Linked DNA regions of Callithrix jacchus. The protein of the gene in region 2 purifies or fractionates together with the protein of the main gene of each other region. This does not show direct contact. Links are inferred from orthologs where the notes say so. Each region holds a gene or a part of one and is shown on either strand. Other genes may lie near its edges. The genes, in order: NCK1 and TNIK.

Region 1 (4,546 bases), about 31 Mb from region 2:
AACACGGGGGATCAAATTTCAACAGGAAATTTAGGGGGACAAACATCTAAATTATAGCACAGGCCAACCACATGCATGCATTACTACTTAAGCAAATAATTTTGAAGTTAAATGCAGAAAACTGCAAACTTTTGAGGCTGATAGCTAGGGCCAGGATTAAAGTAAAAAGTATTAATGCCTTAAACAAAATTTACTGACCATCTACCATGTGCAAGGCCCTAGGGAGAAACTGAACAGACACGGTTCCTGATTCAATGGAGTTTACAATCCACGTAGGGATACAGACAAACCATTTCAATAGCTCGGATGGAGAAAATACCTGTGCTCAAGGATACCTAACTCGGCAAGCTTCCCTGAGGAGCGACCCTAAACTGAACCACAAAGATGGTTAAGAAGAAATGAGGCAGCAGGGTGTGGTGGCTCATGCCTGTAATCTCAGTACTCTGGGAGGCCGAGACAGGCGGATGAGAAGGTCAAGAGATGGAAATCATTCTGACCAACATGGTGAAACCCCGTCTCTAATAAAAATACAAAAATTAGCCGGGCGTGGTGACGCGTGCCTGTAGACCCAGCTACTAGGGAGGCTGAGGGAGAGAATCGCTTGAAACCAGAAAGCGGAGGTTGCAGTGAGTCGAGATCGCGCCACTGCTCTCCAACCTGGCGACAGAGCGAGACCCCGTCTAAAAAAAAAAAAGGTTACTACGGTTTGCAGCACACTTACTGATGCTTCAGCCAGTGGCTGGAAACCTTATAACAGGCAGACCTAGCTCCGAAGATCCTCTTCATAACACTACTGTCGCCAAGACTGGAAGCTGCCCAAGCACGAGGGTCCTTTTAGAGGGACCTCAGACTCAGTTTATTTTGGTCTGTGCCTCAAATTAAACACAAGTCGGCCTGGCGCCGTGGCTCACGCCTGTAATCCCAGCACTTTGGGAAGACGAGGCAGGCGGATCACGAGGTCAGGCGATCAAGAGCATCTCAGCCATGGTGAAATCCCGTCTCTGCTAAAACACAAAAAATTAGCCGGGCGTGGTGGAGGCGCGCGCCTGTAGTCCCAGCTACTCAGGAGGCTGAGGCGGGGAATCGCTTGAACCCGGGAGACGGAGGTTGCAGTGAGCCGAGATCACGCCACTGCACTCCAGTCTGGGCGACAGAGCAAGACTCTGTTTCAAAAAAAAAAAAAAAAAAAAAGCCACATGTCTTACATTTCTCCCAGGTCCCAATTTTCAGGTCTTTTTATTTGTTTTTCTTTGTCCCTCCCTGCTCCTAAGCACCTTCGGCTGGGAAGACATTCTTCAGGTGCAGAAACCAGGGGGAGGCTCCCTGAACAGTGGGGGTTAGCTCAGGACGCTGTCATTTTTGCTGTAGAGTCTCTCCTGCAGCGCTGGGGCGGAAGGCTCAAAGTAACCACCCAGAGCAACCGCAGAGGGAAAACCGAAGACAGTCGTGGTCTGGCCTACCGCTTCTCACCCTCTCGCTGTCTTCTTTCCGCCGCGCAGCCTCAGCTCTTTCCACAGTACGAACGGCGCTTGATTGACAAGTGGGCCCGCCCAATCCCAGTGCGGCACAGACCACTGTCGCGTCAAGGACCGGGAAAGGGGGCGACTGAACCTATCAGATTGGGTCGGGAGTGGGTTTCCTGCCCGCGCGGATCCGCCTGCCCACCGCGCGTGCCCCGCCCCTCTCCCGAGAGCTACGCGGCGGTAGAGCGCAGGCCTCGTGCCGTTACGGTCATCACGGCGACCGCGGCGGCGTCCCGGTGCCTTCCTCAGGTGAGCTGGAGCTAGCCGGCACGGAAGACGGAGGGTGAGATGGCCTTGCTGGGAGGCCGACACACACACACCCCCTCCTTCAGTCGGCTGTCCGTCCTCACAGCCTGTTACTCGCTGCGTCGCTTCCTCTTCCCCCGCTGAGTTAGCCCCGGGGGCGCCGTCTGCAGGCTCGGAGCTGAGCCGGAGGGGATGCGGAGGCTGCTCGGCGGGGCCCGGACGTCTGCACTGGGATTCCGCGAGACCCTTGGGGCTCTGCCCCAGGGAGCGCGAACCCGTGGCCTCCTTGTCAGCCCCTGGAGCGCTGCGTCGGGGTTAGAGCCCGGGCGACCGCCCCTGCGAGGCTGGGAGGTCGAGTGTGCGGCTCGCTCGCCGGCTTGTCTATTTTCTACTGAAAAAGTCCTGTTGCCAGCTGTGGCGTAATCCAAGACCGGGAAGGTAGGGACGTGGTAGAAGGGAGGGCGCTCTCACCTCCAGCCCGAGAGGAGGAGGGGGCGGCAGCCTGCGCGGTGCTGAGGGTGGACATATTCGGGACGCGCCCTCGCCCCTCCCCCTACCCGCCGGCGGTTTTCTGGTCCGGGGCTTTGACTTTAAACGTCTGGACCTGCTTCACATTCGTACGCGAGTTGCTGGGGGTGTAAACTTTTGACTTGAGTTGTAATATGTTTGGTAAAAAAATTATCTCGATAGTTTTGTAACATTTCTTGTATGTTAACGTATAAGTTAAATTTGCCGTTAGAAGCTCAGGAAGCTGGATTTGTTCAGGGCTGAGGACGTAACGGTAGGAAGGCTCTCGGTGTCAAATCGATGGATCTGGAGTCAACTGAAAATAATTCTACACGTTATATTAGGTAAGAAGCCTTAGGAATTGTGAAAGAATGAGGTTAAGAAGAATTTCCAACTCCTTTTTGGGAGGGGAGCAAAGCAGCTCAATGCCCCAAAACGGGTAAGTGTTGCCAAGAGGTCCTCATTTTTTTTTGGTTGTTGCTGATTTTTTTTTTTTTTTTTTTTTTTTTTGAGACAGAGTCTTGCTCTGTCGCCAGGCTGGGGTGCAGTAGCGCGATCTCGGCTCACTTGCAACCTCCGCCTCCCGAATTCAAGCGATTCTCCTGCCTCAGCCTCCCGAGTAGCCGTGCTACCGTCGCGGGCCATTACCACCCCCAGCTAATTTTTGTATTTTTAATAGAGACGGGGTTTCACCGTGTTGGCCAGATGATTTCCATCTTCTGACCTCGTGATCCGCCTGGCTCGGCCTCCCAAAATGCTGGGATTACAGGTGTGAGCCACCGTGCCCAGCCAAAGTACTCATTTTAAAAATCTTTCTTGGATAGACTTACGGCAAACCAACAATAATGATTTCTTCAGCACCTGGAAAGCGCTATGTCTAAACTCTCAGCCTTCAGCGAGGTCACACAGTAAATGGGGAAATAACCCAATAAGAAAGTTTTGTTTGTTTGGTAATTGTCAACGTTTGTTCTTTTCTTTTTTTAAAACACTTTATTTTCTTGTGGGGATGGAGTCAGTGATGTTCTTAAATAGGCATTCCATTCACAACTTGATAGTAATATGCACTGGTTAATAAATGGTACTTTCTTTTCATCTTGACCACAAGCTCTGAGGCTTTCTTCTTTGGGAAAATTATGGTCTGTGGGAATTGGCTCTAATATCCATAAAGATAGATTGCAGAGTGTTCAGATCTACTAGCTGTTGGTTCATGTATTAAATTTTTAAATGTGTACTTATTTTTCTAGGCATTATCTTTTGTCCAGGTTTCTGTAGTGCTTTCAGGTCCATGTAAATAAAACTTGAAACCTACCTGTAATGTTTTGTTAGTTACTGAATGAGACCAGGCGAGGTAGTTCAAGCCTGTAATCCCAGCACTTTGGGAGACCAAGGCGGGAGGATAGCTGGAGTCCAGGAGTTTGAGATCAGCCTGGGCGATATAGTGAGACTCTGTCTTTAAATTAGAAAATTAAAAAAAAAATTTAAAAAGGAAAATAAAAAGAAAAGTGATATTAAGTGATGCTTTGTGTTTCTTGGTTTCTTTGAGATGGAGAAACATAAAGACTTGCTCTGTTGCCCAGGCTGGAGTGCAGTGGCATGATCTTGGCTCATTGCAACCTCTGCCTCCTGGATTCAAGCGATTCCTATGCTCAGCCTCCCCAGTAGCTGGGACTACAGGTGTGTGCCACCACACCCAGCTAATTTTTTTTTTGTATTTTTAGTAGAGACGGGGTTTCACTATGTTGGCCAGGCTGATCTTGAACTTTTGACCTCAAATGGTCCGCCCACCTGGGCCTCCCAAAGTGCTGGGATTACAGGCGTGAGCCACCGTGCCTGGCTGAGTTTCTTTTTCTTTTGGATCTCTGAGGACTTTCCTTTCAAAGCTGAAGGTATGTTTGATGTGATTATTACAAATCACTTGTCAGGAAGAATTGACGTAATGAATACAGGTGCAGTTCATTTTTAAAATTATGGTTTAATAATTTTTAGAATTTACCTTTATAATATGGAAAAATACCATACATTCTTTATCTGTACTGGAAAATTAAATGATTATTTCATTGATAAGTAAAATTGAAGGGAACTCTTGAAATCACTGAGCATTTAACAAATTCTCTGTAAATACCTTGATGTTAAGAAGACCACAGGGCTAAATATGACATTTAAAGATTAAGACAACAGTTATGTCTGGCTGATCCTCACCTGAAACTGTAACAAAGAGAACTAGTCTTCCCTTCAAAACTGATGCTGACTTGGTTTTGTTGACATTACCA
Region 2 (3,812 bases):
GCAACCTTACTCTGGCTATACTGCTATACTTCAGTGTGTTGCTTGTTAGCTGGGAAGGGCAGAGCTAACTGTTTCTGCAGAAAAGGGGTGGTCACCTTTCCCACCTGTTTGGACGTGGGGGACTCATCATTTTAGTAACATACCTGAAATTGTCACAAGGACATTCAGTCCCTCTAGCACATCCATCTGCTGAAATCGCCTCCGGTTGATCAGATTATAGACTTTGCCTTGCCCACTTCGATCCAAAAGCATCAGGCCATTTTCAGTCCCCACCAGAAGGTTTACACCTGTAAATTTAAGAAGCACCGTAAGACTGACTTTTCACAAACTTTAATCTTCGGCATCAAGAGTCCCTATAAAAATCTAAGAAACTGTGACTTGTAAATATAAACTAATGAGCAAGCAGGTAAATATAAACTAATAAGTGTAGAAGTAGAAGCTCTGACGTAATAATTAAAGCATTGTACTTCTGGTAATGAAATCACAATTTCCTTTTGTAAAGTTGTAGCTTCATTCACATGTCCTATTTACTACCTAATGCAGAGAGTCCTTGTCAACAGGGGCCTTGGGCACAGATATGAAGCTAGCATAATCTTCCTTTATTCCTTTCCTGGAACAACCACTTCTTTCTTGGCTCTCCCTATAAATCTACTTCTCTTCTTCCCCAAGGTTCACCCCACCCCCGTGCAGTGATTTCTAGCCTGCCCGCCTTCAGTGTACAATGGAAATTTCATTTCCATACTCCATTGGAAGAAAGGCCCTTCCTCCTCCTTGAACCAAAATCTAACTACCTTATGCCCCTTACCCTCAAGTTTCTGCTCTTTTTTGGAGAAATTATAAATTCATTCAAGAGAAGTGTCAATAGCTGGAGAGTCACAAACATACTCATTTAAGGGACTTCTCAGTTCTCTAAATCTAGTGCAGCCCAACACCCATGCAGGAATCCCTATTCCAGAAGCACAGGCAGGTAAGTGGTTTTGTCTGGGTCGTTGTAATCCTAAAAATGCATTGCTAGGGAAATTTATCGTCCACCCCTCTACACACACACATTGAGACGCTCATTGTGCAGTGTACTACATTCATGAACATGTAACTCTCCAACTTATCTTACTTATTGTACTTCTATCTTCTGATCAACACAAATATCTGCTTTTTTGTCCACATATTAATCCTTTTAAATTAAATGTGGCTATCTTGTTCTCTTCTGTCCCTTCTCCAGAGGACAGAGCATCTATCATGAAATAGTTCTAGGCTTCACACTCTTTCCTACTAACATCTCAAATGCTTTCAGCCCTTGAAAAGTACAGTTCCCCAATTCCAAGCCTACTGTTTTCAATGGGTACATAGGGAACATGCCCTTCCTTAATCTGTATAAGATGTTCATAGTAACATAGACCAAGACTTTGACAGAATTTCATCATGCCTATCCTGGGTCTGAGGTCAGCTAAAACCTGCAGATATTTTTCACAAGAAATGCAGACTGATGTTTTAAACTAAAAGGCAAAGTTCATCATATTATTTGTTGTTCTCTTCAAGTTTTATCTTGTTACTGCTAGTGGTATGACCTTGGATAATTCACTAAAATCCTCTGGGCTGGTTTTTCAGCTTGAAATGAAGGGTTATGCCATGATTTATGTGCTTATTCCCCTCGCAGGCTGTATGGATCATGGAGAATGAGCGTGGGGTATATCACGAAGTGCCGGACACAGCTCACCTCTGATTGATCAGATTACAGACCTTGCCTTGCACATTCAGTGTATCAGGTGGTAGCTAGTTCTCTTGTTGGCTTTAGCCCATCACTATTTTGCGGCAAGGTTGTTTGAATCTAATCGCATCATCCCGGCTAGTAGGGTGTCAGCTATTTCTACATATAAAATGGCTTTTGGTCTCTCCTGAAGTCAAGATAATCCCAAGCTAGGTATCTGATACCCACCATTCAACCAGTGTTCTTTTGATGACAAGATCCACGGGCTTTTCCTGTTTGGGGGTCAGTTCATTAGTAAGAGGTTATTAAAAAAAAAAAAAGGCACTGACATACCCCACAGAGCTGCACAAAGTATTTCTGAGTTGAATCGTTTCTTGTATTTTCTGATTTCTGGTGTGTCGCTGTGAGGCCGAATGTTGGTTGGGTTTACGTTTACCACTGAAATCTTTCTTGCTTCATTGAGTTTGGCCTGTTCTTGCCTAAGAAGTTCACTAGTAAACAGAGCTTTGAGAAAAAGAATCAGAGAAGTCAGTGGCATCTTAAAGATAACCTATGAAGATGTGGAGATGAGACTTCAAAACACTATGATTTCTCCTTGTTGGTTTGAATTATAGTAAAGGCAAAGAAACACTGAAACTCTTCTTATTTTACACTTTTAAAAAAGTGAATAAAATATAAGTCATTCATCAAAGCAGTGTTTCATTAATTAGCAAAACAGGCTTATAGACACTACTTGGACAGCTTAGAAAGTTGATATTAATCTCCCCAAATGAAATACACCATCCCCACTCCTGTAATATAAGCAAAAAAGATCTACTTTTTGAAATTCCAGAGTATCAATTGCAAAACTATCCTAAGCTGCTTTGATGATTAATTACTTGAAGAACATTAGAAAGCAAGACCCTCCTCTAAATTAGCCAGATTTTTGTAGTGGGAAGCACACACCTAGAACTCAACACAATGCACCATGCACTTATTAAGGGCCTACTGTGTGCAAAGCATTGTACTCAGAAATTGTTTTGGGGAAATATTTGGTTATGTTCAGAGATCACTGAGGAACAGCTTTCCTAGGGTCTCTATATACCCCTGGGTCTACCAGAAACAAAACAGAAGAGATGGAAAAAAAAAAATGGAAATAAGTAAGTTTGTTTTAAGATACCTAAATAATAATAATTTTAACAAAAATTTTAACAAGAAATAATAATTTTAACAAATCTTCCTTTTAAGACAGGACATAAGGAGTAATTGGCTTAACTACTGAACTGAGGATTAATTTTCTTATCAGGCTGTAACAGAAGGAAGACGAAGCTGTTTTTAAAACACTGGGCCCTTCTTGCTTACCTGCAGCTGATGATTCCTCATCCTCTTCATCTTCATCAGTGGGAGACGTCTGGTATACTCTGGGGTCCACAAAGGGGGTGAAGGAGGCTTTGGTGCTGCTCCCCATGCCATACTAATCAATAAGCAAGAAGATTAAGAAGCGCAGATAAATATGCAGGACTAAACAATGCTAACAACCCTGTGCTTGAGCTGTAAAATGATCATGGATTGTTCAGGGTATTCAGCTGTTCATATTCTAGCGCCCTAGTCAGTGTGTGCCTCTCTCCAGCTTCTTCTGGTGTTGATTATTCACTAGCCATTGTGCATTTGTAGGACTTCATTCATTATCAGACTGCAAGAATTGCAGTGAGAAAATTACATTGTGAACCACGTACGGCACCTTAAAATCTGTAGGACCACTGTGGTGACAGAGCTTTCCTCTCGCTTTCAGTAAAAGCAATCTCCTATATCGATCACATGGTCAATATGAAAATCTGACGCAGTTGGAAATAAACTAAGTAAGCCTACACGGCAGCACTTGGTCCTGAACACTGAGTCAACCCAAGGAGCTTTCTCTTGGGGAGGAGAACTTTCAGCCCTTTCACTCTGGCCTGGTGATGCAAGTGGATTGGTATTGCCTCCAGAAGTTTTAAAATCTTTAATTCAGGGATGATATTATTCTGGAATTGAAGATTTTTTCTTCCCATGACAGTTTCCTTAAAAGAATAATTACATCTTTATTTAGGGACTTCATGAAGATATTAGGTTTGTGGGCAATGTACCTTGA

The links.
Region 1: the proteins of TNIK (region 2) and NCK1 purify together in Homo sapiens (affinity purification with mass spectrometry; 3 studies listed by BioGRID and IntAct, with this or other methods). This does not show direct contact. The link is inferred for Callithrix jacchus from reciprocal best matches to the Homo sapiens genes TNIK and NCK1.

What each region holds. Positions count from the first base shown.
Region 1 is NC_133518.1:47,382,794-47,387,339, reverse strand, and holds the start of NCK1 (SH2/SH3 adapter protein NCK1), read left to right. Parts: upstream 1-1,688; 5' UTR 1,689-1,772; exon of another isoform or gene 1,773-2,207; intron 2,208-2,515; exon of another isoform or gene 2,516-2,620; intron 2,621-3,994; exon of another isoform or gene 3,995-4,162; intron 4,163-4,546. UniProt on the Homo sapiens protein: Adapter protein which associates with tyrosine-phosphorylated growth factor receptors, such as KDR and PDGFRB, or their cellular substrates. Maintains low levels of EIF2S1 phosphorylation by promoting its dephosphorylation by PP1.
Region 2 is NC_133518.1:15,981,847-15,985,658, reverse strand, and holds part of TNIK (TRAF2 and NCK-interacting protein kinase), read right to left. Parts: intron 3,159-3,812; coding exon 3,047-3,158; intron 2,210-3,046; coding exon 2,039-2,209; intron 288-2,038; coding exon 144-287; intron 1-143. UniProt on the Homo sapiens protein: Serine/threonine kinase that acts as an essential activator of the Wnt signaling pathway. Recruited to promoters of Wnt target genes and required to activate their expression. May act by phosphorylating TCF4/TCF7L2.